4 linked regions of the Astyanax mexicanus genome follow. The protein of the gene in region 1 interacts with the protein of each later gene in a pairwise test. Links are inferred from orthologs where the notes say so. Each region holds a gene or a part of one and is shown in the gene's direction. Other genes may lie near its edges.

The links.
Region 2: the proteins of trim23 (region 1) and tastin interact in binary tests that used the Homo sapiens proteins (3 or more experiments, as listed by UniProt). The two-hybrid records come from large-scale screens. The link is inferred for Astyanax mexicanus from reciprocal best matches to the Homo sapiens genes TRIM23 and TROAP.
Region 3: the proteins of trim23 (region 1) and klhl42 interact in binary tests that used the Homo sapiens proteins (3 or more experiments, as listed by UniProt). The two-hybrid records come from large-scale screens. The link is inferred for Astyanax mexicanus from reciprocal best matches to the Homo sapiens genes TRIM23 and KLHL42.
Region 4: the proteins of trim23 (region 1) and flad1 interact in binary tests that used the Homo sapiens proteins (3 or more experiments, as listed by UniProt). The two-hybrid records come from large-scale screens. The link is inferred for Astyanax mexicanus from reciprocal best matches to the Homo sapiens genes TRIM23 and FLAD1.

Annotation. Positions count from the first base shown.
Region 1 is NC_064427.1:22,848,409-22,856,368, reverse strand, and holds the start of trim23 (E3 ubiquitin-protein ligase TRIM23), read left to right. Parts: upstream 1-4,844; 5' UTR 4,845-4,869; coding exon 4,870-4,959; intron 4,960-6,433; coding exon 6,434-6,596; intron 6,597-6,877; coding exon 6,878-6,999; intron 7,000-7,272; coding exon 7,273-7,551; intron 7,552-7,960. Other genes in the region: trappc13 (trafficking protein particle complex subunit 13), read right to left, coding at 610-709, 1,983-2,051, 3,253-3,337.
Region 2 is NC_064420.1:42,757,024-42,764,500, forward strand, and holds the start of tastin, read left to right. Parts: upstream 1-4,238; 5' UTR 4,239-4,376; intron 4,377-5,655; 5' UTR 5,656-5,680; coding exon 5,681-5,739; intron 5,740-5,883; coding exon 5,884-6,127; intron 6,128-6,382; coding exon 6,383-6,905; intron 6,906-7,477. UniProt on the Homo sapiens protein: Could be involved with bystin and trophinin in a cell adhesion molecule complex that mediates an initial attachment of the blastocyst to uterine epithelial cells at the time of the embryo implantation.
Region 3 is NC_064409.1:37,370,316-37,377,627, forward strand, and holds the start of klhl42 (kelch-like protein 42), read left to right. Parts: upstream 1-4,145; 5' UTR 4,146-4,479; coding exon 4,480-5,246; intron 5,247-5,962; coding exon 5,963-6,156; intron 6,157-7,117; coding exon 7,118-7,312. Other genes in the region: cwf19l1 (CWF19-like protein 1), read right to left, coding at 641-787, 885-969, 1,140-1,255, 1,349-1,563, 1,740-1,841, 1,934-2,018, 2,111-2,195, 2,821-2,843. UniProt on the Homo sapiens protein: Substrate-specific adapter of a BCR (BTB-CUL3-RBX1) E3 ubiquitin-protein ligase complex required for mitotic progression and cytokinesis. The BCR(KLHL42) E3 ubiquitin ligase complex mediates the ubiquitination and subsequent degradation of KATNA1.
Region 4 is NC_064413.1:2,343,969-2,352,121, forward strand, and holds the start of flad1 (FAD synthase), read left to right. Parts: upstream 1-5,140; 5' UTR 5,141-5,262; exon of another isoform or gene 5,263-5,553; intron 5,554-6,900; exon of another isoform or gene 6,901-6,920; 5' UTR 6,921-6,950; coding exon 6,951-7,109; intron 7,110-8,083; coding exon 8,084-8,153. UniProt on the Homo sapiens protein: Catalyzes the adenylation of flavin mononucleotide (FMN) to form flavin adenine dinucleotide (FAD) coenzyme.

The DNA of each region.
Region 1 (7,960 bases):
CTAGACATTTAATGCGTTTTGTGCAAATACAAATGATAATATTGTAATGCACAAAAAAGGTTTGTAAACACATTTCATGTAACAATGTGTCCTGCAAATCATCAGGACATGTGTTTCTTTTTATTCATAATAATTATTGCGGCGAGGGATTGTGTACACCATTTGGACAAAATATTGGGAAACCTGCTCACTCACGGTAAATCAGGAGATTTATTAAGAAGGTTCATCTGTTTTTGTCCCTATAAGCCATTGAGGATTTTCTAGAGTTTTAAGCATTTTTGTGAGAATAAAATGCCTGCTGTATTAGAAGGAAAACATGGTGACACTCCTGTTCCTTACTAGTGTTGCATAATGTGCCCCTTATAATCCGGTCCACCTTAGGTATGAAAATAGACCAGAAAACAGACGTTTATTGATAGTGCACCTTATAGTCCGGGGGCCTTATAGTGCGAAAAATACGGTAATCAAAATTATAGACAGAAAAAATAAACATTTTAGTGTTCAAATGTTCAAATTTAAAAAGAAGTTGTACATTTCACTTTTGAGCAATAAACCAATCATCTTCACTTTAATATAATGTCTAAAACAATAAACGGTAAAACCTTTTACCCAAAATTCTGTGGTAGTGTCAGCATCTCCCCGAGCATCAAAGTCTCCGCCCCTTTAATAGTAGATGGATCTTCCCTCATGAGTCGACTGAACAGATCACCTGAAGACAAATGGAGGTTAAGTTAAATATGATCTGGAGTCACAGCAATACACTCACAACAGAGTCCAAATCTTTATCTGATTTATGATTCAGAACTGTGACCTAAGAAGGCCAGAACCTGAGCCTGATTTATAGCAGTGGAAAAGATACAGCTCTTACATTCAGAGAATTTCATGTCTGATCAGCGGCCAACCCTGCGGAGCTGTGCCCAGCGAGTGGCAGGCTGACATAGTTAAACTGTATAGTATGGCAGAGTCATCTGATACCAAGTCAAAGGCAAGGCCTGGACAAATTACGACTTTTACAGGTTACAGTATACGTTTAGCAGAAGTCTGCAATGACTAAATTAAAGAAAACAGGAGAAGGCAGAGAATGAGACAAGGCTGGCATCTACACCACTCCATTCACTTTATCTTTCTGCTCTCAGGTTCTCCTCATTCATCTTGATTAATAGTGGAATATGCTCCACTCTCATTTTGCCCCCTCATATAAATATAGGGCCTACGAAGAAGTGTCGTGATGACATATGGCTCTGGAGCGGTGCCGTTAATGGCTGAATATTGTGTTTCGGAGGTGCTGGACTGTGGCAAGAGGGAAAACAAACATTATAAATTCTTGTTGGGTCTGCAGGTTATATTCTGGGCTACAGTCATGCCACAGATTTCATTCCAATTTCGCTAACAGGCAATAAAAGTAGTTAAGAGTGGGTGTCAAATATAAAAAGATAAATATGTCAGACCTCCTAACTGTTATGAAATCACTTAATGAAATCTTAATTTGTGGAGATAGTGGCTCCTTCTGCTTGTCTTCATTGTCTTCATTATTTTGTTTCATTAATAATATTAATCTCACCTGAGTGTATATTATATATATTATATTACACAATATTGACCTGCTTTTGTTGGAGTAATTGTCTCTACTGTTAAGGGAAGGCCAGAATTGCTCCACAGCTTAATGCTAGGTGCCAATAAGATCATTTTTATCTGCTTCAGAGAGTCCTATTCTATTGGTAATCCTTCACAACACAGACTAGACAAGCTGTGTTTGTGCATTTGCACATTTGTGTCACTAATGGGTGCAACTTTATTAATTTATTAATTAATTCAAGGGTTAGCTAATCTGCCTCAGTTGTGCCTATATTAGCATTAAAGTCCCTGGCTCTTTAATGCAAGGGATTTTAAGAGAACACTTTAATTCTAATGGAAAAGTGTGAGGACAATAAAATAGTTTAAATGAACCAAACAATAGAGTTATTGTTGTTTCTTTTGTTTACCTGGAAGGTCTCTGTCTTCACACGTCACAGGCATATTAGTGAACAGTGTCGGTTTTGTCAGTCGCATCACTAGTAAAAAGAAAAATGCACATATTAATAGTAATAATGAGCACCTATGTACTGATGTTGACTTTGTAAGGTATATTCATATAGGAGCACTGTAGCTCTATTATAACAGACTGTAGTAAATATGTTTCTCTGCATACTTTAATTACTATCCTTCTTTTACCCTGTACTGTCAGGACCCCACACTGCAGTTACACTGATATATGGTGGTGATACAAATGGATCAGACACAGCAGCAGTGCTGCTGTAGTTTGTAAACTACAATATGTGGGCAGTGTCCTCTAAGAACTGACAAAGGACTAGAAGATAATCAACAGAGCTTCTGTCTCTGACTTAACTTTATCTACAAGGTGGAGAATCTTGACACTGTAGGAGTGTCTAATACAATGGAGGACAGTGAGTGTTCAAAACACTGTGTTTAAAAACTCCAGTGTTTGATCCACTCATACATCAGCCCTATACGAGCTGTTCTGTGGTGGTCCTGTGGGTTCCTTACTAGTAAACAACAGGGTGAACGAATGGAGGTGAACAAAGTGGACCGATTTGGCCAGTAGAGCTGATACAATGGACAGAACGTGTAAACATATGGGTTTAATGTAATGGCCATTTACAGTACATATTTGTATTAATTGTTTTAAGTAAATATAAGTAAAAATGATAAGTAAAATTAAAACATAAATAAAAACAGGTCATTTGCTTCTTAAAGTGCCTAAATGAAACTATTCTCAATGAAAAGCACATTTAAAAGTATCGATATACAACACATCCCTCTTAAAAAGCTTTTCTCTATTGTTTCCTTAAAAACACAGTAAACGCCACCTTATTCAGACTTTAATACTCATGAATATGCTTCATATTATTGTACTATACAGTATTACTATACAGTATCTACAGTTGTGTTTAAAAACTTCCCTGCTGACATCACAATTAGGCGTTAGCTTCTTGTACAAATTCTCCAATCCACCTTAAATAGTCCAGAGGTTACACACTGGTGCATGCAAGACCCTGCTCTGACCCGAATACAAATACTGCAGATTTAAGGTGGACCGGGCAGTTAGAAAACCAGGCCGGACTCTCAGCGCTTTCCACACTAAAGCTGTGGTTCTGAGCAGACCGGTGCTGCGAATTTTAAAGCAGCAGCTGGAGATGAGCCTTAAGATGCAGTCGGTGAGATAATGGAGCAGACAGAGAGCGGAATCTGTACCTTTTAGAGCCAAAAGATGCTCCTGTTTTGCCTGATTCACATCCATTTTGTTTGATAGTAAACCGGACTGACGTTTCCCCTGCATCAGCTGACGACGGAGCGCAGATAGGGACAAAACGCGTTTTACATTAAAGCAGCACAGGATGTTTTTATCTAGCGATAATTTCAGAAAGACATTGCTACAATTTCTTATGTAATATCATATTTGAGTAGTATTGTAAAGTGTATACCGTGGAGAAAATTGTGGTCTTTAACTTTAGAATATTTACTTTCCAAAAACGTGAGAGAAATTGAACTGAAATTAATACATAAAAATACCCCCCTGAATCTTTGATATTGAAAGTTTGATATTGAAATTAACATGCTCTTTTTTGTAAGAGGGCTTCGTTTTGGCAATGTATATACAGCAGAAAGTTTTGTTCTGAACTATTACAAATTCTGAGGATTTTTATTTTCTTTTACTTGTATTTACCTCTGAGAAATCCATTAGTGATAAGTTTTTTTATGATCAAACATTATTCCTTGTTTTTTAAGTTTGGTGAGTATATAAATATATTACTAAACATGGGGACTAAACCCCTTAACATTTGTTGATCTTTGTTGCCTCTGGACATACATTTTACATATGCTTATGTTAAAAGTTTGTATTGACATAATGAAGAGAAACATGCAAAATAATGTCTATAAAATATATATTATCTAAAAAAATATATCGAAAAAAGTTAAAGAATATATAAAAGAGACGACCTATTTACAAATGTGCACATATCACTATTAGACAAATAGAAATAATGTATCATAATACCACGAGAATACTAAATAAACGTGCATATATTTGTCATAAGGTCACCCAAAACAATGTGAAACACTGGTGAAGAGCATGACAAGACACATGAAAGCCATAATTAATAATTCGTGTTATTCCACCAAATATTGATTTCTGAACTCTTCTTGAGTTGAAACATCAGTATTGTTGTTTCTAAATAAATATGAACTTGTTCTATTTCTGAAACACTGCATCCTTTTCATTACGTTTATCTTTATTTTATTTTGACTTTCATTTTCTGCAAATAAATGCTCTTAATAACCATATTTTTATTTGGAATTTGGGAGAAACGTTGTCGGCAGTTTATAGATTAAAACAACAATTCATTCATTTTACTCAATATATACCTATAAATAGTAAAATCAGAAAAGTGACCAGTCCCAGCATCCTAGCTTCACATATGTTCCATGAAAGAGCATTAACTTATATAAATTGTTTTTTTTTTTAAACAAAACACTATTAATAGTGCATATACTGTGTATAAATCATCAGAATTACAAAAAAGTGTAATTTTTAAGCCGCAGCTACAATAAAACCTATGGAAACAGCTGAAACCTTACTGTGGATTCGTCCATTGCTTAAATAGGGGTTTAAACGCCGGCTGTAGCACCGGTTTTATAGACAATTTCAAACCTTACAACATTGTTTGCGCAATTATTTTACCATGTAAAATATTAATATACTATTTAACACGTTGTAAGCATATTTTATTGAGTTTATTGTTTCTGCTGTTATTTGCTCGTCCTCTGACTCGACCACCCCGGTTTTGTCATGGATGGTCGCGTCCGAGGATGGCCGCCGCTGTAAATAAGCAAGGAGCCGCAGCACCGATGGAGCCTTGTGTCCGGCACGTAAGGGCCACAACAGGCAATACGGTGAAGGTACAGAAGTTTATGTTAGATTTAAACTAAAGTGCAGTGATTTAGGGAGAGTGTTTTTGTGTATTTTTGTATTTTTTTTGTTTCTGCATTCGTGGTTGCAAAAAAATGGATAATTCAGGGCCAGAAAACCATAATCCACCCCAGGATTTTGCTCCAACTGTATGGGCTACTCTTCTGAACGCGGCTGCAGCAGTGCCAACGAGGCGGTTGGATTGAAATCCTGGCCTGGATTTTTGCTAACAAGTGGAATGGATTCCCCAATGTCTAGCAGATACCTAGATTAGCTAAGCTAAACCCAGTAAAATATCACAACACTACGTTTTATCCCCTGAAATTCTGTGAAACAGTGCAATATATAGCTGCACAAATGTAATTTACGCGTAATTAACAGGGTACAGTCTCTGAAAAATTGGTAGTTATTGCAAAATGCCAGCTAATATCAAGCTAGCTAGCTTTCTGAGCTAACACTACCTATCTGTGTAGGTTAACTAGAAGCCGCAAACAAACAATTGGTGCCCTCAAAAAGGATGTTAATTAGTTAACTAGGTTAGCTTGTTAAAATGTGTTCCAGCATAAATAATAATATGTGGTAATATTTCGGTGCTATTCATTTTTACATGACCTTTTATATAATGACTTGGGTATAATGACTTATCTATTGTTTTTTACAGCAACTATGTGTCCTAAAACGATTTAAATAGAGTATATTGAAAAATAATATTAAGTACCACTTAAAATTATAAATTTAATTTTACCTAATTGAAAACCTCTGGAATATAATAAAGAGGAAGATGTATGATCACAAGCCATCAAACCAAGCTAAACTGCTTGACTTTTTGCACCAGTAGTGGCAAAAAGTTATCCAAAAGCAGTGTGTAAGACTGGTGGAGGAGAACATGCCAAGATGCATGAAAACTGTGATTAAACCATGGTTATTCCACCAAATATTGATTTTTGAACTTTTAAACTTGATGAATATGAACTCGTTTTCTTTGCATTCTTTGAGGTTCTCATTTTCTGCCAATAAATGCTCTAAATGACAATATTTTATTTGGAAGAATTTGGGAGAAATGTTGTCCATAATTTATAGAATAAACAACAATGTTCATTTCACTTAACATATACCCATAAACAGCAAAAACAAAGAAACTGATTTAGAAACTGAAGTGGTCTCTTTTTTTTCCAGAGCTGTAGTTGGTTATTTAGGTAAACAGTATGTAAAGTGGTATCAAACTCTTCTTTTAACCTCTTCTGAGGGAAGGGGTGAAATTTATTTAAATTTAAATTTGTGGTGAAATGACTAGAAAAGGTGACATTATGTAAAAATAATAATAATAACTTAAAGCCTAAGAACAAGATCATAATAATCATTTTCACTTCAGCTATTAATGGCTGTGTGTGTTATCCCATGAAAACATATAGTAAAATATGTACATAAATGTAGTTTGACTTGTGAATACTTGCTGCTCCTCAGGTTTTGGAGTGTGGAGTCTGTGAAGACGTATTTTCACTGCAAGGAGACAAGGTGCCTCGGCTACTGCTGTGCGGTCACACTGTTTGCCATGACTGCCTGACCCGCCTGCCTCTCCATGGCAGGGCTGTGCGGTGTCCATTTGACAGGCAGGCCACTGAGCTGGGTGAGTTTAAACTGCTGTTATGCATTTTTAGATATGATTTGCTTTGTTTGACCGTTGGTAGCATTGACTGATTGATTTCAGACTGATATCAGCATTTAATGCAGGATAAAATATTAATAGAGTGGTTGATTATCATTGCCAATGTTTAGATGCTCATTAAGTTAACCATTTCAGGTAAAATTGGTTAATTTTAAAGCTTAGTAGGATAACTATACTAGGGCAATAAGATAAATAGTATTTTTAATGCAAAACAAAACCTGTTTCCTTTTTTTCGCGTTCAGGGGACTCGGGTGTCTGGGGCCTGAAGAAGAACTTTGCACTGCTAGAACTTCTTGAACGGCTTCAGAACGGTGCCTCAAACCAGTCAGGGATGTCGGAGGACGCACTGCGAGAGATGGGAGAGGTTGGGATCATATGTTTCTATACATATACATATAGTTCATTTTAAAAAATGTAGTTAAATTTAATTTAAAAGTTACTTCATTTCAGTAATTCAGTTCAAAATGTGAAACTCAAATACATAACTAAATTATATAGAAGTTTTACACACAAACTGATCTATTTTAAGTGTTTCTTTATTTTATTGTTGATGATTATGGTTTACAGCCAATGAAAACCCAAAAATCAGTGTCTTAGTATGTTTACATTAACATACTTCCATCTTGTTGCCCTGCAGTGCATCATACGCTGTGATGAGGACGAAAGCCACACTGCCTCAATGTACTGCACGGTGTGCGCCACCCATTTATGCGCCGAGTGCTCCCAGCTCACACACTCCACCCGCACACTGGCCAAGCACCGCCGCGTTCCTCTGGCAGATAAGCCTCACGAGAAGACCCTGTGCCCTCAGCACCAGGTGCACGCCATCGAGTTTGTCTGCTTGGAGGACGGCTGCCAGCCAGGCCCGCTTATGTGCTGCGTCTGCAAGGAGTATGGCAAGCATCAAGGACATAAGGTACTGAGGCCAGTATGATAATTGCACAGTTTGCCCTTGAAACTCTGGCAGATGTCTGTGATGAACAGCCTGTGAGAAATTTACACCGATCAGCCGTAACAGGGAAGGTAAAGGGAATAACGCTGTTGATCTGGTTCCAGTGGCAGCGGTCAAGTGGTGGGATCTACAAATTAGTAAGCGAGTGTCAGGAACAGTCAGTTCCTGATGTTGATGTTTTGGAAACCAGGATAGTAATCTTAGCCAATATGAGCAGAACCATTTTAGTTCCAAAAGAGCTCCAAAGACGTATAACTGCTGAACTTGAGATGTTTTTAAAAATGTATTAGTTTAATATAATAATAATATACATAATAATAATTAAACCAATAATAATAATATATATGGTAATAATAATAATTATTATTATTAC
Region 2 (7,477 bases), on another chromosome or scaffold:
CTTAAGAGGTTTGTGTGGAAATGGCTTCAGTCTTCATTACTGTAAAGTTACTGTTTTGGCTGTGTAATTGGTATGTGTACTAATTTGGCCCCTACAGTTAGTTGCAGTAAAATGGAAAGCCCTGTTATTTCTAGAGTAGCAGTGGTTCAGTTTCTAGATGATTAACTCCTGGACCGAGAGTCATAGTTCAGTGGAGTTTGCAGAAAGGAGAGGTGTGTTGTAAATGTGTGTGCAGCATTTTCTTGTAGCGTTTAAAGTCGAATAATAGAAATATAATGAGGCAAGACTTGCAGCTCTTTTCCTTTGCATGTAACACAAATATCCAATCTTCCACAGGGGAGTTGTACTGACTTCAGATAACTTTTGAGGCTCGATCTTATGGTTTGATTGAGTTCGTCAGGACTGAAACTGAAGTAATGAAGCCTAAAGCTGAATTGGGACTGTTCACAAATGTAATGCAAAGCTGTCCCTCAAACGGTAAAGCAAAAGAAAAGAAATCATTCGTCATTTCATGGAATCCACAAAAGCAATGCTGCTCAATTAAATTATGTTTACCAGGGGAAGCTAAAACGGTATCAAAGGAGCCTGTTTGTATCTGGATATGGCCAAGCCACATAAAAATACAAGTGCAAACGCACCCAAGCTCCATCTGTCACGTCACTTTAGCAGGTGATCTGAGACACATTTGGTATTACACAGGTATTATAGCAGTGTAAACACATCAATATCTCCAAATTGCAACAGACAGCGAAAACTCCTCCCCATATTCATGATAAACAACTGGTTGCTGTGCAAAACAGAAGCCATATTTCAGAAACACATTTAACTCCCATTTAAAACTACAATTAAGGCATTACGTACAAGGTCATTCCTATTTCAGAGGAGGATCAATATAGTGTTAGGAGTCTAGCCCAAGGACTCTTTTTGGTGTAGCAAAGCATTTAGTCACCCAGAACTGGAATTGAACCCCAGTCTTCCACATGATGTGATGTGGTGTCTTACTGGCAGGTAGTGGTGTTATCCACTGCACCACACCAACCACCTACCAAGTGTAAGTGCATGTGTTTTAAAATCCAATCAAGATAAAATCCAGATATATGTGGAACATGTCACCAGGTGTAAACAAGATCCATGATTTTTGTTCTTAGTTTTTTTTTTTTTATACTAGCTTCATAGCCTTGATTTGTTTGTAATGTTGAAACTTGATTTTAGGTTAAATACACCTATGAGTACCTGTTTACACCTGGTCACTTCATGTAACCAGTATCTGGATTGGATTCTAATGTGATTTAATCTACATTCATTTATACATGGTAGTCAAACATGTCTCTGGTTAATCAGACTGCAGTGTGGGATGGTTTAGGCAGTTATAACTGGTGTCTACTTGGAGAGACTGATGTGTTTACACTGCCATAATGTGGATCAAATGCTCATATGAATCTCATATCACCCCTTCAAGTGGTCTGAGTGAATGGATTCGTATCTGTTTTTAAAAAAATCCTGGGTGTGTTCACACTTGCATGTTTAGGTGGCTTAAACTTATCCAGATATAATCCTAATACTCAATATGCATGAATTGACCACAGGGTCTTTTACACATAAGTTAACATGTTAACTTTTAGTAAAATTCTGCAAGAAAGTATGAAAGTTTATGCTTTTGATGTTGACTCTTGGTCCAAACAGACAGTTAAGAAGCAGGCAGTTCTGCTAACAGGATCTATGTCTGATGTAGGTCTTTATCATAGTCACTCACATATATATTCATAAATACGTACATGCATATTTCACTGTGAATGCTTTTTTTGGCCAGCGCGATCGTGCTTTACCGTGTGGTCAGTGCTCCTAAAACAGTTAAATCAGTAGTAATGAAGTACTGATAGTGATGCTTGTTTGCAGGTTATCTTAAGAAGTGTAAACAGGAAATGGAACTGTACCCTCAGCACCTTGGTCTGCTCTAGGTCTGCTATAGTGAGTGCCCATTCATCACTGTTTGCTTTAATGTTTTGTTGTTGTTGTTGTTTTTTTTTTATCATAGTCATATGATGTATTTCTACTGATTAACATGTTCCAGCTCTGTAAATATCCATTTTTAGTCACTCGGCACGGTCAGACGGTAGGATGTCTCGATGTTGTCTTGCTCTGTTTCCCGTTTGCCTCCATTTATTTGTTTAAATGTAGTTTTCTGCCGGCTGATTTCAGCAGGAGTGGTGTGGTACCTTTTGTAGTAAAACGGTAATGCATCTAAAATGGAATTAGTGTGTAGTGTCATGACAGATTCTGGTGGGGGAGTGTTAAAATTTTGTGTACATAATTGGTGTAATTTTGTTATAGCGACACGGAAAGGTTTGTTGCATTTGAATCTTTCTAAACATACCTTGTACAAAGATTACCTTAATGTTTTGGGAAATGTGAGAGTTTAACAGCAAGCTGTTTAGACCTTTTTATTTGTATAGGGTAAATATGTTATTTTTTGGTTGATGTTTTATGACATTGGTAAGGTGATAATGAAGTTAATGTATTCTATAGTTTTTCCAGTTTATTATTGTTCATTATCTGCTTTACCCCTCACTGATATAAACTGTTGAGATATTTTAGTTTTTTTAATATTCATTCTAGAGGGGTTGAATATGTTCTTATTAAATCTGAATTCAGATTGGCTAGTATGACAAAAATAACAATAACAAGTGTAAACGTTTCTTTTTTGTGTAATTGGCCTCACCAAAATGTCTGACTTTGATCAAGCGAGCAATGTTAACATGACATAAAAATATATTTATGAAGTAGAAAACTAAAACCCAAAAAATATATGTTTGGTCATTCGAGTCAATCTGAGAATAAGGTGTGCTTCTCTTCTGCCCTTTAAGACCAATTAAACCCTATTGAATTTTAGTTTTTGGCTTCTCTATCATCACATCTATTTTCACGTGTTTTTGTTTGATCTATGTATGTTTTCCATTTTGGAGTGTTTTCTTGTGTGTTCAGTTTGTCTTGAGAAATAATTCATGTTTCTTCACACAGTTCCTCTCAGGGTTTATTTTGTATCTCAAATATCATTTTGATGGAATACGTAAAAACATCAACAGTTGTGTCGCCACTTCAAAAGCACGCATATACAAACAAATCCACTGCATATTAAAATTGAGACATTGTCCTAGCCAGCTATTGTCTACACTATTGGGTTGATAATTTGAAAGGGTTGAACAGATTTTTTCAAACAAGCTCAATTAAAGATATTTTTTAACATATTGTATTGTTTTGCATTTGTTATTTATTATTTTGTATATGTCTGTAATATTAAATCTGTCAAAGGGTAATATAAGGTCTCAGTCAATTCTCAAAGGTGATGTGCTGGAATCGTGAAAAATCGGCAAATGTAGAAATTACATTTTATAAAAAAAACCAAACAGATGACTGAAGAACCAGTCAAGTCTTCTGTGTGTTCTCAGTTAGGCAAGTGGATTTAATGTTATGGTTGATGAACTTATGAACTACAGGCATGTTAGAAGGTGTGATTTCTCGATAAAGGAACATCATATAGTTATTTCATTCCAACAAAACATTTGCTTATACCCACATTTATAGATTTCATAATATGTTTTATGGAACTTTTAATCACAATTGAATACATTTGAGATTTAACATCATATTGAGCCAATCAAACATTTATTTATACTTATACATAGGTTTTAAACCATCCTTTATGTCAGTGTTTTTGTTCATCTCATGCAAAAGCTGATTAAGTCAGTTTTCCATTTATGATTAATACTACAATATTCAAAAATGATCTAAGATGAATAGTATTTTTTATCTGTAAAAATAACCCATCCCACTGCTTGAAAGGGCAGAATCTCAAATATCTCCCTATTCCCTACGTAGTGCCCTACCTAGTACTTGTACTAAAATACTAAAAAAATACTGTGTCCAAAAAGTGCTGTGCAAAATATCTGACTGTTTGAGAGTCAGTCGTTTTAGAATGTATTATTACCTAATTTCTTTAACATTTATTAATATTTAAGCATGAAAGAACTAAGTATAACAACGTTCTCACAAAACTAGTGCACTAGTAGGCAGTAGGGAGCATGGTGGTATTTGAGACAGACCCCGCCAGTACTTTGGCGGTTATTTTCCCACAAACAGAACAAAAGTCACGTGGTTTAAAGGCGCATCTTGGTTTCCATAGAAGTGCTTTTCGAGCTCGCTGATTGGTGGAGGACAGGTTTGCGTCAGCCAATGGAGATGGGAGCTTTTTACAAATTACTGTGGAGCCCGGAAAACAACACGCTGGAGTGGAGCTCTGCTAAAATATAGCAGATTTAGGGGTTTTACTGCTGAAAAACCTCCAGCCCGGAGAACCAGGCCGCTCCAGCCCGGATTCAGTGAGTATTTACGGGTTTAAATACGCCTGGGTTTATCGGGTAAACTGGCTGAATATATAATGAATATAGTGAATATATAGGCCAGCGTTAGTTCATTTCATTATCTAACGTTGCAGATCTATAGTGAGCCTGTTTATGGCAAACCGGTGTTCTGATGAGTTGTGCTTCCCTGTCAAACAGTGCTACCCTGCTGTTTATTTATATAAACATAAAAATACCAGAAAAGGCACTACATTTAAAAATGCCTGAATCAGTATATCAGTTAAGTAAATAAGGCTGATAAGAGCCATTGTTTGTATTTTATATGGTCTAATTATTTATTTTACTATTTACAATTTCCATTTACACGTTTGTAACACCCAGACAAATAATAGCTGGGTGCCCCGGCTGTTTAATGCACCAAAGTAGATCAGAATTACCATAAAAACGCATGAAAACATTAAGAAGTTGGTCCGCGCATGCGCACTACTGATAAAACTTTCATATCGATGGGTAGCAGCAGAGAACAGCACAGATTATACTGCTAAACACTCTAATTCAGCATCTCTGAATTAACCAGTTAACGTTTAAAATGTTCACTAGTTCACGTTAATTTTGGGGTTTTATCCCCTATTTAATAGGCTGCTATTCTGATTCAATAGAAGCCTTTTCTACCCATCCATCACACCACACTCTGCTAACCTGTTTAATATAATGTTTCATATAATTTTTATACTGAAACTTGTAGCTACTTATTCCTTACAGAACCATAAAAATGTTTCAGCACTTTTTTAAGTTTTAAAACTTATATATAAGTTATAAAACTTTTAGACTAAAATAAAATTAAAGTATTATTCTGGTCAAGTGATTGAATACTATTTTTAGCTGTTTAGCTTTATACACCTGCATTCAATGAACTAGTCATTCCGTTCAGTGCTATGTTCAGATCTATAAATGTATAAAAAATATAATCAGAAAAAATGTTTAATCAGACAGAGCTTCAATGGTTATATCTAAACATCTATAAATTGATACAATAAAAAAAATAAAATAAAATATAAATCAGACAAAGAGTTATAATGTTTATACCTATACATCTATAAAAATATAATCAGTATGGTAAATATCTACTTGGTGGGCGTAGTTTTGTTTGTCATTATAATACGTAGTTATTATAAATCTTTATAATAAAAAATATATATATATATTAAAATTATATATATAAAATTATATATCTTGATTTAGATTGTACCGCCATAAGCTGATTAAAGTGCTTTCTTTTTTTTCTTTTTTTTAACAGTCGCTCAAAACCCATCAGTCTCCAAATGGCATCCTCAGCAGCTCCCCTCTGCCCTCAGAATCAAAACCAGAGGGATAATCCAGGGTAAATGGACTTGTTTTCATGACTTACTGATCTTTAACATACAGTTCTGCACAGAAGTATTTGAGTAAACAACATTCTAACAGTGGTATGTAAAGTCTGGTAGTTGATCTTTATTTAAATACTTTTTTTTCTCTATGCAAACAGGCTGCTGAAGCACCAAAAAGCAAATAAGCTTTCAGAGAATTTAAGGACACAATCCCACATTACCCAGTCGTCCAAAAGAGGATCTGAGAACCAGGACCCGAATGAAACTGCTAAAACCACAAAAGGAGCAAATAAACTAAAGACCATCAGCAGGCTTCCAGTCCTGGCAAAATCCATACAGCCAGTTCTTACAGACATCCCTCAAAGTCCCGGCCTTAAGAGATGGGAGGAGAGGCCACTGCTGGTAGATCAACATTTTATATTTTTCATATTGATCTCAAAAAATATACAGGGTCCTATTGTACACCCTGCCCAAAGCGCCTCACAGTGCTCTTTGCTGTCTTACACCCTGTGAACAGTCTATTTTCACACCTATATTGTGAGATAAATTTAGGTCGTATCATCCAGACCTAACGGCAAGCCTACTGATTATTTTATAACTATGTGAATCAGGTGGTTATAATCATTATAATCATGTCTGACTGATTTACTTTGTCAGGGAAAGGCACAGAAGAGGAAAACCTGTACCAAACCTGTTCCATTCAACTTGTCCCAGTCTCGGAGCCACAGCCAGAAGCTCACTGAAGCTGCTCCTGAAAGGGCAGGAAGTTCTGGACTACCCCTAACGACTCGTCCGACACCCAGCAAGACCCTGACCACCTCTCAGCACAGAACAAACCCCCCCACTCACAATCCCCTTTCATCTTTGAGGAATACACATGTTCATCACACAAACACTTCAAAAACTAAGCCCTTAAACCCTTTAGAGCCTAAGACCAGTCCAAAGCCCAAGCCTAACAGCACACAGTCTGTGCTACAGTGTGTTACTGACTCCTCCATTCAGAGAGACCTGAGCTCACAGCTGCGCAGCATCACACTCGCTCAGTCAGAGCTTACCAAGGACCCGGGTCTTTCTCTCAGAGCTGGTGCTGGTGGGGTGGAGGAGAGAGCAGCTTTCCAATTAAAGACCAAAGGCTGCATTCAGACTGCTTTGTCTGCTAAACCTACCACAGGTATAACAGGTGAGTTCTGTGATGTAATGTAATACTGAAAGTGTATTCAGTGTTTTTCATATTGTTGCGGCCATGCAAAAAATGTTTTTTCTGCATTGTTTTTCCTTTTCAGATTAAGTATGAATCTGGCAGTTGTTCTTTATATTGTGTCTTTACAATTTATTATTTATGGACCAATAGAAACGCTCCAAAATTACTTTTGAGAATTAAAGTTAAATATGAATCTATATTTTAGGTAGTGTTAAAACATTCCCGTGGGACTTATGTAGGTGGAATGTTTGCTATGTATGTTTCTGGTTGGCACATAAGAATTACAGCCCACATTATACTCACATGGCTCCCATCTAGGCCTGTCACAAAAGCACTTTCTTGTGGACGATATATCTTCCCAGAAATTATTGCGCTTACTGATATTATTGTCATTTTAAGGCAATTTAAATGCCACCAATATAACAATAATAGAAAAGCATAACAATCAATAATAGTTTGTGAAATATACCTATACAGCTTTTAAAATTAAGAGACCACTTTAGAACCAGTTTCTCTAATTTGGTATTTATAGGTATATAAGTAAATTTCAA
Region 3 (7,312 bases), on another chromosome or scaffold:
GCACAACAGAGAAGTTTACCCACAGTCTTTAATCCACACAGGCAGTGATACTTTAAAACAAGATGCAGAACAAATGTACATGAACAAAAGCAAAAAAGCAAAAAATGCCCAATGGCATTCCCTTTCAATAGGAAATCTTTATTTAAAACTCAGTGTAGTCCAATACTAGGCTTAATCCCTGTCTGGGAAACAACTCTGTAATGTTTTAAGAGTTCATTCTATTTATTTTTATTTTATTTTAGATTTTAAGTGATGGTAATTTAGTTTTATTCAAATATTTCTATTGGCTTTTTATATTAAATGCAAACATTATACATTCAACGAGACATACTCCAGAAAAGAACAGTAAATAATTATAAACAAAATTAAAATAATGACAGTAAAATGTTACCAACAAGCCTTACAGTACCACCATACTTAATATTATTATTGTTATTGTTATTATTATAACAGACAAATTAAAAATTGTTATATTTAAGGCTTACAGAGACTGTCAGTTACTCCATACCTAGGTGTATTCATCATGTCTTTGGCAGGAAATTCTTCAGGATATAATTAAAAAATGACTGCCACCTAAAAGTTAATTCAAAACTGTGCTAGCTTGAAATTTAAAAAATATCCAACAGTAACATATACAAACCTCATCGAGTACAGATGGAGGAGGCTTTTCCATCTTGCCTTCTTTTAGAGATTTCCTGTAAGGGGTCTCTGTCACATCCTGAGGCTGTTTGACTAATTCTGCAGCATCCATATTTTTCATCGGGACAATGTTAAAAGCATACAAGTACTAAGAGAAACAGCCACAAAACAAAAAAAATTTCAGTCATATCATCCCGTAACTCAATCTTCATTCACAGTATGTGGGCAAAGGGAAAATGTTCTACCTTTTTCTTAGCAGAATTGTTAACTGTCGCCAGTGCAATGAATCGACTGACATGCTGTGCATTTTCTTGAAGAACCAAATGGTTTCTGTTTAACAAAAAAGTACAAATAGAACATACAAACAAAAATGACAAGATTACATAAAGTTGTAATCTTAATAATGTTAAATATCATGATACAAGTTCTAGTTTTGACATTTAAAACAGTCATTTTGTCACACATTAAAATTTTCAGAAAAGGTTGAAAGTGTAGCTAACCTGTATGGCAGTCGTTCATAGTGAACACCTTCCAGTGCAGCAAAGTGGTAGCGAGGTTTCAGCTTTTCTGCAAGATTTGCAATGGAGGAAACTCCACAGAACTTTGTGTCAATTTCCTAAAAGAACAACAATAAGTATAAAATTTAGACAGGTCTATAAACATTGCCCACTAATAACTTTATCAACTTTTTCTACTACAAAGTACTTACAGGATTGTTGCCAAACTGCCACACTCCTCTAGGCCACTGAGAGGTCAGGAGAATGTCAACTCCTTTAAACTTCGAGTTGGACACCAGGGGAGTGACCAGAGCTATGAGATCCTTTGCAGTAAAGCAGTGAGCAGGTGCAGGCTCATGTTGAGCCTCTCTGCCACTCACATATGCAATCTGAAGACCTGAAGCTCCTGTGAAAATTCCTCTGCGCCCTAAAATTCAAAACATGATGTACAGGAGTCAACAAACAGTCTGCACGACTTTCTTTCTTTCTTTCTCTCTCTCTCTCTCTCTCTACATATACATACATATATACATATATATATATATATATATATATAAAACAAATAAGAAACAAACGTAAATAAAAATAAGACAAGCCTCTTACCCAAGTAGATGATATTTTCAGCCAATTCACAACCATCAGAGCTGGAGAAATACTTCACAGTCTCCTGACTTGCAGCCCCCAGAACGTATGTGTGGATGGGAGCTGAAGCAAAACATTTCTCCATTTTTAATAAAAGAACTGAAGGCTGATTTCAGTTATGTAAATTCAGGTTCAACAGACAATGAGTAAAATACCTTTTTTAGCTCCAGACTTGTACGCCTCCCATTCTGTTTCAGCCTCTGGAGAGGTACCAAAGAATTCACCAACGCATAATAATAACTGTTAAAGAAATACAAATTAAAATAAAAGAGAGACTGTAATAGGTGCATCAACTTCCTTATTTAACCAGACACTGTCCAAAACAGACTTACATCAAACTGCCCGCTCTTTTTTTGGATTGTGTTTACTCGGTTAAACAAAGCAGTGATTTTGCCTTCGACGTCTCCACAGGCAAGCCTAAAGAAACACAAACCAAAATTAGAGAAGAGCAAAATATATTATTTAAGAAAAAGAAAAACACCTATAAAATTACTATAATTCGAGACAACTTTATGAACATCAAACAAGGGTGTAATATATCACAAAAAAGTAACGTCTTTATTAGATTTTTTTTCTTTAATGAAAGCTAGACTTGAGTACAAACTATAGTGGATTAATCTTGTAAAAAAAAAGTATATTATAACTTAATTTCTATTATTTGCATTTTTATTATTTTCATATCTCAGCACTGGATTTTATACTGACTACATTTATCAAAAACGAAATTATAAAAAAAGAAGAAAAAACGACATATAATTACCATTTTAAACTAGGCTGACTTTTATTTTGAAATGGTATGTAACGTAAACGCTAGCTAGCTAACGCTATTCTTTAAAACCCTGTAATAAAAATCAATTAACTCGAACTAAAGCTAAGGTGCACAATTAAAAAATACTTTAAATAAAGAACATATTAAAGTGAATTGCGCTGTGAAATCAACAATAAACGTTCATAAGAACAGAAACAGCAGCGCGTGTTCTCAGCTGTGGACTGACTCGGACTAGTGTAAATACAGTAGTGAACACAGTGAACTCTCTCTCACACTCTCAGAGGCTTCTCCCCCATCCCGACACACACACAGCGCGGCGCTGGAGCTCTGATCACCTCCCTTCTCCTGATAAACTAAGTTACCAGTTTCCCTCGAGCTGCTGAAGTGAAGCTGTTTCTCTTCTGATTTTGAAACGCTTTCAGGGTCCGCTCACAAAATACAGCCCTACTCCACACCGGGGAAACATCCTGACCGGCTCGCGGCTCAGAGTTACAGCAGAGACGCGCTTCGGCTAAATACAGTAACCTATAATAATACCTAAACACAAGGCCTCGATACACATTAATAACCGTATAAATCAGCCGAGAGAGCGGAGATATTTACTGCAGAAATTAACACAGAAAACTGTTCAACCCCTAAAAGGTTCCACCCGAGAGAGTTATCCTGCTGAACCAACATTAACATTTAGTGTTTCTTCCGTATCAATCATGCGCGCTTTAAACGCACAATGTGCTTATACTTGTTAAAATGAGCAGCTTGATATTTTGTTGTACATGTTAAAGCATTTTTATTTTATACAAAATTAATCAAATTAAACGTTCTAGAAATCGTGCTAGTGTGTAAGTTGGATATCAGGTTTCAAATATCGACTAAAAAAAGAAATGCGCAAAAACGGCAGGAGAGCAGCTGGCTGTGTCCAAAACCAAGTACATGCTACCTACTACTACTTAGACAATAACATTGTAAAGTGAGAAATATAAGATTATAGAAATTGTGAATTTGTAACTAAAAACTGTATAAATGTATGAAATGTTGAATGATATTGAATGCAGACTTTTTTTTTCATAATGCATGCAGAGCACTATAAGCTGCTCCTCTAACATAACCACTGTTAAAAATGGTCTAGAACCGCCACTAGCTAATAACCAATGAAGAAAACACAAATAAGCACTCACTGCTAGTGCTGAACTCTCCATACCGAGGTAACGCCAATACACATTTCCCTTTTGAATCAGATACAGAGACCCTTTAATCACTACATTGCCTTCTAAAAACACAGTGAGGCAGCGTAGGCAGCAAAGCAACGAGTGAGCAGTGTTGTTTATGGGTTTGAGACACAGACTGAGTGTGACGTAGGAACATCCCGAGACCAAAACAGGAACTGGTTTAAATGGACTGGCTAAAAGGTATGAGGAGGTAAACACGCTGGGTTAGCTAGCTGTATAGTTTTCACTGTGTAATATTAACATTATCTCTCGACATGTGTTCACAGGAGGGGCGCTCACAGGCAGTGGAGGGGAGCAGGTCTCTGGTGCAGGGCTGCTCTCTGTCTGGAGCTGATTAAAGGAGAAGATAATAATAATGCTAACGGTAACGAGCGTTAGCTCTGTGTTCAGCGCTCTGTGTTCAGCTCTGCCCGAGCCGATATGGAGCACAACCACAGGATTTCACACTCGCCCGTCTTATTATTTCTCCCTCTTAGTCCACAACTTAGTCAGCAGCTAGCGAACACGAGTCGAGTCTGGAAGCAGAGTCAGCCCTTAAGCTCCGGGCCCAAACATTTCCATATATAGTTATATAGCTCGGCTTCAGAAGAGACGGGACTCAGCAGTAGAAGCAGGAGCACCAGGAAAAGCTGCTGGAGATGTAAACCTGATCTCGCCCACCAACAAGTGCCCTTTGCCTTCGTCACATGCCACAAACACCGTGACCATGTCCGCTGCAGAGCAGATCATCGAGATCGTGATGGACGACAGGACGTACAACGTGAGTAAGAGCAAGCTGATCGAGAAGAGCGACTACTTCCGCGCGCTGTACAGCTCCGGGATGAGGGAGTCCGGGGAGGACTCGGTGCAGCTGCAGGGCCTGAGCGGGCCCGGCCTGGAGCTGGTCCTGGAGTTCATCAACACCTCCAAAGTGCAGGTCGCCAACGAGACCCTGGAGGACCTGATCGAGACAGCCTCCTTCCTCCAGGTGACGCCCATCCTGAAGCTGCTCCTGTCCGAGATCCGTCTGGAGAACTGTGTGGAACTCTTCAAGCTCTCCGAGGTCTACGGGACCCACGACCTGCGGACAGCCTGCCTGAAGTTCATGTGCTGCCACTTTCACCCCATGCTGCGCAGACCCGAGTTCCAGCTCCTGCCCGCCTCGCTGAGGGAGCAGGTCAGGCAAATGCGCATGAGGGGCACTGCCACGCTGGTGGCCATAGGAGACTTCATGGGCACCTGCCTGGACCTCGCCGACCAGGACGAGCCGTGGTCCATGCTGAGGTACGGGGAGGTGGAGCAGCGCTGGAAGCCGCTCGCTAACAACCTGCCCCCAGACATGGTCAACGTCCGAGGCTACGGGTCCGCGGTGCTGGACAACTACCTGTTCATCGTCGGCGGCTACAGAATGACGAGTCAGGAGATCTCTGCCGCCCACTGCTACAATCCCTGCAAAAACGAATGGCAGCATATAGCACCCCTGAACCAAAAAAGGTATCTGCATCGTTCTGTCAGGCACAAAGGAGAAAGTACTGGATAAAAAGTCTATACAGTGACATGGTTTACTGTAGAGAAATCATATTTCTTTCCAGTGGTGAAATCTGTTTTAGACAGGGTCAGTGTATTCATGACCATTTCGAGTAATCAGTTTTTGTGGATAAGCTTCTGCGATTCTGTAGAACAGGGGTCTCCAATTCTATCTGCAAGGGGTAGGTTCGACTGCAGGTTTTCATTCTATTATTATTATAGTATTATATTATATATTATTATTTTTCTCCCCAATTTAGAAGGCAAATTAAACAACACATTCACTCATTAGGACTCCCCTTGTCACTAGTAATTCCCCCAACACTAGGAGAATGAGGACAAGCACTCACCTCATCAGACACATGTGTAGCCAACCACTGCAGGAAAGTGCAGATACTCTGATCACCTAACAGATGCCAGTGTGGACCATCACTGGGTAGCATAAACCAGGATTCCAATTTTTATCAATTAATCAGTTTTTAAATACTAATAAAATGTGATTCTATTTCGCTGGATTAAAAAACCTGCTGCTGCACCATCACTTTGTGTATAAGATTGGACACCCGTGCTCTTGAACAAACAAACCATTCCAAACCATCTTAATCATGCAATTTTGTTAATTATTGAAATTTCTCTGTTCAAAAAGGGCTCTTCTTCTTGACCAGTGTTATGTTTGTATTTAGGGCAAACTTTAAGCTGGTGGCTGTGAGTGGGAAGCTGTATGCAGTGGGCGGACATTGTTTAGGTACAGTGGAGTGCTACAGTCCTGAGCAGGATTGGTGGAACTGTGTTTCCTCCATGCCTGACCCTCTGGCTGAGTTCTCTGCCTGCGAATGCCAAGGAATGATCTACGTCATGGGAGGCTACACAGCCAGAGGTGCGTACACGGTCTTTCTAGAAAGAGGCTGCTCACATAAACAGGAGCTTGCTTTGCGATATCAATGAGTCACTGCAAATCAAAGTATAGTGGTTTGAGAAGAACTTTGGGAAAGAACTTTTCTGGAATGGTGCAGTCCTGTTGATGTTTTGTGCTGAGTTGCTTGGATTAGTCACTTAGTCATCAGCAATGTTAGTCATCAGCAATGTTGAATACTGCGTGTCACATATTTAAAAACAGGAAAACAAGCTTTCCCAACAAAGATTAGGGTACTAAAGCTGTAAAGGGTGGGCCAACATCATGTTAAAACGCATGCATTGACTCAAGTTAATGTGTGCACAATCATTTAGTATGTTTTCGCTGTGTGATAGTTCATACAAGATTCAGTTGATTCCAAAGAATTTGACTCTACCTCTGGATATGGTTACCATAAATGTTCTGTTTTGCACAGTAAAATGCTGTTTATGAATGCAACTCTCTGTTGTAATTATTGTTGTAATGATGGTTATTCCTTGCCCTTCTATTATGTATTATTGACTGCTGGTTCTTGTTCTCCTATATTTTATTGAGAAACATGATGCCGCTTTTGTTTCAAATCATGATAATCTGAATTCATTTATTTGTTTCATTTACCACAAGTCCTAATATGCCTGGAATGTGATGCAGGCCTAAAATGCAGGAATAGATGTATATATTAGTAATGAAATTAAATTGAACAGATGTGAAATATATTGGGCTCATACTGTCTGCAGTAAAGTAAATAGGATTCATACCTTGTGTTAATAGACAAATGATTTATAATACAATTCATATACATTTTTGCCAGTATAAATAATATTATTATTAATAGTATAAAAATATTATTATGAAATCATGTAGTTATTATATGAAACTTAAAAATACAAATATATTTCAATTCAAGTTTGAATTAAAAAAAAATATCCTTTCTTTATTCTTGCAGACAGGAACACCAACGTTCTGCGCTACTGCCCCACCTCAGACACGTGGTCAGTGTTCCGTACCTGCTCAGCACACGTACGCAAGCAGCAGATGCTCTCATTGGAGGACACTATCTACCTGGTGGGTGGCTACACACACGAGCTGGAGTGCACAGCCAGGGGTCAGCGGCGGCCCAGCCAGACGGAGGATATGCTGA
Region 4 (8,153 bases), on another chromosome or scaffold:
CTTAAAAGCAAACATTTGCAGCTGAGATACTGAGATAATACGATACGATAATATCATATATTACACAAAATCTACACCTACCTGGATGTTTAACAGGTTTATAGTTAAATAATACAGGCAGTGAAGTGGACACAAAGCTGAGAGCTAGGAAAAATAATATCTCCTACCTTAAATTATATCCAGATTCATCCAATTCCAGCACTTTAGCATGTGCAGGGTACTATCAACTGAAACAAGCAGCAAGTTTTGGATTGAGAGCAATGAAAATGTGCTACTATTGGGCAACACGCCCAATAGTAAGAAACCCAGGACTGTTAAATAAATTCTATAAAGATAATTTGAATTAAAATATTACAATTTAAAATCAATCTGACCCTGATTATTTTCATTATTTAATTTAATTTATATATTTAGGTCTAATTGTAAAAAAATAAAATAAAAAAAGTTAAGACTACAATAAAACAAATTAGTGGAGAAACTTTCAGGAGTATAAATAAGTATAAAAATATGCTATCTTCTATGTGGAATCATACCATACTTTCAAAAACATATTTACACACATCTTCAATACAAGCTTGGTTCTTTATGGAATTAAACATGGTTCTTCACCTAAAAATGTGGGCCTTGGACAACCCAGTCAGCAGGACATCAGCGGTTCCAGGATTAATCAATAACCCTAACCCTAATTGTTTGTGATTTGAGCACTGTTTTATTGATCACACGCTTGTTAATTAAACGCTCCTGACTACCTGAATTGGTCTTGCTAAGGCTAAAGTGTGAAAGCCCCTGAAGAAAATAACTGTGGTTGCTGTTTTGCCATGTCAGTCAACTGTGGAGCTTCAAAAGTGGCTGTGTTATTGCAGAGTTTTAAAACTGCGCCACTCACTTGAAAATAAACCATGATATAAGTACAAATATTTCATAATTTTAAATATAAGACTGACGACTGTCAGTTTGGGATGTCTGGCAGTAAGCTTTGGGATGATACTTGGATAGCTGGGGGGAAAAAAAGTCGCAACAAATTACACCACACTACGCAAACAAGCCAAGTAGACATTTTAACCTCCAACAAAGCTCCTAATAGTGATTAAATGGTGGGAATAGTGTCAGCACCGACAGCATGGGGGTTTAAGTTCCTGAACAGATGCTCAAAACAACAGCTGGTCATGGTGAGCTCATGCTGGTGAAGGACTGCCTCTCCTCTGAGCTCTGAGATGACACTGATTTACAAAGAAATTGTGTATTAAATGACATGCCAGGGTTTAAAAGTTACAAAATTCTAGAAGAGTCTAGCTGAGAAAATAAGAAGAGCATAAAAAAAATCACATTAACCTAGTTGTGGAACCATGCTTACTAACAATAAGGGAATAAGTGACATAACGAGAAGCTAGAGGTGGGCTATATGACAATATTTTATTGCATCAGGTTTCCATTTATTATTTAGGATTTACATTTATTATGAGCTCAGACTACAAAAAATTAAGTAAAAAAAAAAAAAAAAAAAGTTTAATATCTGCAAAAAAAGTGATCACATCCAAGTAGCGCTGGCCGGTATACTGGTTCATACAGTGGGGAATTTCAAACTGGTATGCAAAGAAGCATACAGCTCGCTAGATAACGCTAGCCAGTTAACATAACAAGCTAACATACTGCAGTGACTGGAGCACGACATGAACATGAATAGATGAGACCAGAATCGGTCCTGAGCGCAGCGTCGTTTTATTCAGCACAAGTGATAAAACTCCGTAAACTCAGGATATGAGGTGCAAAAATGCTTCAAGAGCAGCAACTATAGCCCTTATAAAATTATGGCTGATTTTAATATTGTAATGATTCTAATGTGTTTGATAATAACATTTTAAATTGATATTAAACTTGTGTCTTACTTGTGCAATAGAGCTTTAGAGAAATATCTCTTTGAATACTTAAACTGAGTATTTTAGGTTAATTTATAGTGTTTGTGGAGTTATTTAGCTTGTTTCGAAAAGGAAGCAGCGTTAAAATTGTTTTAAAAGCTCTTTTCTGCTAATGAAGTCAGATTTTTTCATATATTGTGTATATATTTTGTGGGACAAAGTAAACCCAATTTAAATCCTTAGTGTTTTATATTATATGTACTACTAAACCTAGATTAAAGCCAAGTCATGTAAAAAAAATAAAATAATAAATAGCCTGATATACCGTGAAACTGTCAGAATCTTGAAATATACCTTGAAATACATTTTTGGTCATACCGCCCAGCACTACATCCAATGTATCCAATGAACACAGACCAACTTCTTATTTTATATTCCACTATAGAGATTTATAATAGGATATAACACATTAGGATACATGATATATAACTGGATCCCATTAGTTAGTTCTGATTCATTTGACCACAAATGTAGTTCGTATGTATGGGATAGTTTTTCTAATGATAAAAACTGTGTATCGTAAAAAGGTTTTTAGTTAAATATCGCAATATTTCGATAATATTTTTACCAAATCGCCCACCAGAAGACTATTGCTTGGTTAGTTAGCTTGTTAGCTCAGATAGTTTTTACACAGGCAAGTTAGCCACCAGGTTCAAAATGTAGTTAGCTAGCTAGCTAACTAGCTAGCTTATGTGAGGAAAAAAAATACCTCATAGCGTTAGTTATAGTTGTAAATATTAAATAAATTAAATGTAATTAGTTTTAAAATGACTACAAGGACTAACCTTGTTTGCCGCTCTGGATAAGAGTGTCAGATAAATGCCATAAATGTAACGTAAATGTATCCTTAGCAGATAATAAACACAAACCAACTTTTTACTTTATATAACTTACCATTATAGAGATTTATAATGAGTACGAGATATATAATTAGATCCCATTAGTTAGTTCTGATTAATTTGACCAAAAATGAAGTTAGTTTGTATGAAATAGTTTTTTTAACGAAAAATACTGTGTATCGTAAAAAGATTTTTAGCTAAATATCGTGATATTTCGATAATATTTTTACCAAAATCACCCACCTCTACCTCCAACCAGAAGACTAAGGTTTAGTTAGTTAGCCTGTTAGCATAGATAGTTTTTACACAGGTAAGTTAAGTTAGCTACCAGGTTTAAACTGTAGCTAGCTAGCTAGCTAACTATCTTATGTGAGGAAAAAAATATTCACAGCGTTAGTTATAGTTGGAAACAGTTAATAAAATAAACGCAATTTCTTTTAAAACGTGTTAATCTATATAACAAGTGGCCTGACTCTATTTACAACCAAACACGAGGCTTAAAAAGTTAGCTGCTTCATCAACTTGTCCGTTCCACCTTAAATGCCTCAGGCGCACGAATGGAACTGCTGCTCTATTTAAGGTGGAACGGACGAATTCGCAACTTGAAGCTCTCAAACTCGAGCTAACTTCTAAAACAAGCCCTAAAAGTTACTCAACACTTTCATTTTCAGCATTTCCAAACCTTCAACCACTGAAACAACCCCGAACCCACCTCCCAGCGGAGTTAACTCAACTTCAGACACAGACTCACCTATTCCTCTCGGCCCCTCCGGTCCTCTCTGTCCTCCTCTTCTCTCTGTTTCTCTATTAAAATAATAATAATAATAAAAATAAACCTCAAACTTCCTCTAAATCACTCTCTCACTCCTCAGCTCACTCTCTCCAGCCTGCTCTCTCTCTCTACTTCTTTCGGGAAACGGCGGAGAAAACTTTCCTCTCTTCTCTATTTTCTCTTTTTTCACTCCCTCTCTCCCTCCCTCCCTCTTTCACTCTCTTCCACTCTCCTCCTCCTTTCCTCGCTCTTCCGCCTCGCGTCACGCGGATCTGCGATCTTCTCCAGTATCGAGTATTGCAGGATTTAGAAGTAAAAATAGTTCTAATAAACATATTATTAAAGTATTTTATAACAAAAAAATAAATAATAATAATAATAATAATGATGCAACGAGAGATATCATATTGGAATTCTTGTTTTACAGAGATTAATAATAATAATAATAATAATAATAATAATAATAATAATAATAATAATAATAATAATAATAATAAATAAAATTATTTAAATAATAAAAAAAAGATCAGAAAAAAGAAAAGAAGGAAAAGTAAGGGAAGATAAAATAAAGGAGTGGATGGGAAAGTAAGAAGAAGTAAGAAAGAAAAAAGAGAAACACTAAATTCAGTGTTGGGTCTTTTTTTATTTCATTTTGTACATTTATTTTTTTGTCCATTCTTATACTGGATACTGTTGTGGCTCTTATTGTTATTTGCAATAATACATTTGTTATTAATTTTAGCAGCTAATCTTTACAAATTTCTTAGCTTTTTCCTAATTAAAAAATCTTTAATTTCTTGTTAGTAATATTAGCCAACGTTTCTTTATTTTTCTTTTGTTGTTTTGTCAATTTATTTAATAATAATAATAATAATACATTTTATTGTTTAGAATAACAACAATACATGTGTTGTTCATATTATTAGCCAATCTATGTGATTTTCTTAGCTTTTCCTTTTTACTTCTTTATTAAAAAGTAACAAAAAGAATACATTGAGTAATCATACATTTGTTTATAGGAATAATAGTAATAATACATTTTATTGTTTAGAATAACAATAATATATGTCTTATTAATATTATTAGCATAATAATATCTACTATATTACTATAATATCTACTATAATAATATAATACAGCATTTTCAGGACATTATAAGTTGCATTACATCAACATAAAAAAATCAGCATAACCCAAATAGAACCCATATAGAAATAGTACAATACAATAAAAATATAAATTAACAATAAGACTTAAGAATTTAATAACGAACAATTAAGAAAAAACAGTAAGATATTCATTAATATTCATTTATCTGAACACAACCTTTTTATTTACTTTATTAACTATACTGAGGATTAGTAACAGGCTGCTAGTTTTAGCCTATGCTGGTAAAAGTGTCTAGTGAGCAGCGCGAGGGAGGAAGGGAGCAGGAAGGGAAATGGAACATCCCCAGAAAACACGTGAAGGCTTCGAGGCTGCATATGGGACTGCACTTCCGCTTTGGTTCTAGTATGCCCCCCCTTCTTTAATCTGATTGGTGTATTAAATGTAAACGTCACGCCGCGTCCGGCCGTGTCTGATTCTGATTGGGTAGCGTGTGTGTCAGTCATGTTACCTCACTCGAACTTCAGCCGGTGGTTTGTTTTGCTGGGTGACTGAGCGGAGGACGAACTTCAGCGATATTCCTTCAGTTAAGAGAATTCAGGCAACATTAATCTGATATTTTAACGCTGTAAATAAGTTAAAATGCTCATGTTATTTTTCTCAGAGTCAGAGAAAGCATTCAGATCCTTAAATTAGAGAACTGTGTTCAATAAGAGCTGGTTAAAGTGGTAAACCTGTAAAGTAAAGCTAGGTTAATTCAGCTAGCTCATTTATTATATATAGCATTATATATTTATTATTATAGCATTTATTATAATTGTAAACAACTTAATTCTGATTATTATACTGATTTGTATCGGAATAACAGTTGCAGTTGGACCCAACAGCACTCACTGGGCTTTAAATACCAGCTAAGAAGGTAAGACAAGAATCTATACAGTGGCTTGCAAAAGTATTCATACACCTTGACCTTTTTTATTCATTTTGTCACATTACTACCACACTACTACACAATTACTAACTGTAAACATGTATTTTATTGAGATAAATGACAGACTTGTCTGTCAAATTGGAACATAGTTGTTTTTTTCATCTTATTCCTTCTTTAAAGATAATGTTTCCCTCACTTTTTAACTTCTTTCTGTTTTTGGTAGTTTCAGCAGATAATTTTACCCTTCTAAAACAGATTAACATTTTTCCAAGAAATCAGGATTATGGTGTCTTCTCACATTGTAGTTTTAAACAAATGAGAAGCTACTCCCTGCATCAGTTGTCATCTGGTCTTAGCCGGAGACCCACTCTTATAGAATACAAACCAAACAAATTTATTTTTTACAAATCGCCTTCAAAAACTTATTTAAACATACTCATGCATTCGAAGTGAATCTAAGACCCTAAAAGTCACTACAATAAAATTTAATATCAAAACTGCACAAAATAAATAAGGCCACAAAATGAGATATATTTTACTTCTCCATACAAAAGACGAGTAGAAAATCAGAGCAATAATTATTTTTATTTTATTATTATATAATTTGTTAATGTATTTCTTTTTTACAAGTTGTCTGCGACCCACCCAGAACGTTTCTGTGACTGACTTTTGGGTCCCAATAACCAGTTTTAGAGGGTGAAAACAGCTAAAAACTAAAAGTTTATTTTCCCTTTAAAAAACTTCAGGTGGACCACGCTCCCCTTGGGCAATTCAGGTGGTGACCTTGTTTATGGTCAGGCAGTGTACTTAGCTTAGTTTTACTCAGAACTTGGGATTATTTTCATCAAATATCCAAATATTTAGTTAAAATATCAGAAAACTCTGGTGTAAGGTGGACTTTTTTGGTGTAGTAAAACATGATAAAAAAAAATAGGATTCGTTTTAAATGTTAGGGCTCTCCAGTTTCTACTAAGGAGGTGTGGAGCTACTTTGAGCTGGATAACGGTGTAAAAAGTGATTTATCAGGGTAAATTGTGCCCCGTGTCACCAAGTCTGAAGGGTGTTTGGAGAAACTGTTAAAATATCTGGATCTCAGAACGCTGTGGGAGAACGGAGGTGTGCTATTCATCAAAGATAAGAACTTTTTATCATGTTTTACTACAACAAAAGCCCATTTTACACCAGAGTTCTCCTTTAAACTGGTGTGTTTGTGAGTGTGTAGATATCAGTGCTGGACTCAGACCAGAAACTGAAGATCCCGGCTGCACTTCTTCATCTTTTCAGTGCAGGACATTAAAGTAACAGTAACTAGTCATGTTCTCCCGTCCCCCTTAGATCCTCTCCGTGTCCCTCAGCCCCTCCTGAGCCCCTCGCTCCCGGGCTGAATGCTCCAGGCTTTGCCTCGGCTGAACAGAGCAGTGGGGAGGATTCGGCGTGTGGGAGCTCACATCACCAGCATGGCCCGAAACGGTGGCTCCTCAGCAGCGGAGGACGGAGGCGGCGTCACGGCCGCTATCCTCATCATCGGCGATGAGATCCTCAAGGTGAGGAGGAGGCAGACACCAGTAGGCTGTGTCATCAGTGATTTATCATTTCCTACAGGGAATCATGACTGTACTGCAGTGGTGTACTACTATGTAATATGTATAAATTGTGTAGAGTGGAGCTTGAAATTTGTGAAACCTTTAAAATAATAAATCTTTTTTTTTTTTATCAATTCGACCAAAAACTATCAATCAAGTACTAAAGGAAAAAAAGTGGGTTTTCTGCCATGAACTGCCGCTCCAGCACTTTCCACTACATTTTTAACAGGATTAAGGTCAGGATTTGTACACTTGAATTTGTGAAATTCATTCTGACCTTTCACATTCCCTCCAGGGCTCTTCTGTTTAAGTAAACACAATGAGCAATATTGAGGTCAAGACAAATTATCATTGTTATGTCCATATACAGCTCTTTCTTTGATTTTACCAAATTAAAAACCTCTGGAATATAATCAAGAGGAAGATGGATGATCACAAGCCATCAAACCACCAAACTAACTGCTTAATTTTTTGCACCAGGAGTAAAGCAGCATAAAGTTATCCAAAAGTAGTGTGTAAGACTGGTGGAGATGATGGAACATGCCAAGAAACTGATTCAGAAACTGAAGTGGTCTCTTAATTTTTTTTCCAGAGCTGTATATATGTACAATAAGAGTATAATGTGAGTATTATTATTGTTAGATAGAGGACCATTGACATAGTGTTCAGTAGCTCCTCCATTTCCACTCGCTGTAGTGTTTTTACATGGATCTCCGTGGAGATCTGTAATTACCCACAGTGTAATTTTATTAAACGCGAGGAGACGAAACTTAGTGATGTGCGTCCGGAAGGGACTAAAATTACCAGATTTCAGAGAAAAACAGTAGATAATTCAGCCTGTAATTTTCTTAGAGAAACACGTACATGTTCGTTCCTTATATATAGGGCTTATGTTTTTGGGTCATAATAATATATGTCTGCAATTTTTGCATCAGGGTCACACCATGGACACCAACAGTGCCTTCCTGTGCCGAGGCCTGAGGAAGCTGGGCGTGTCCGTGCAGA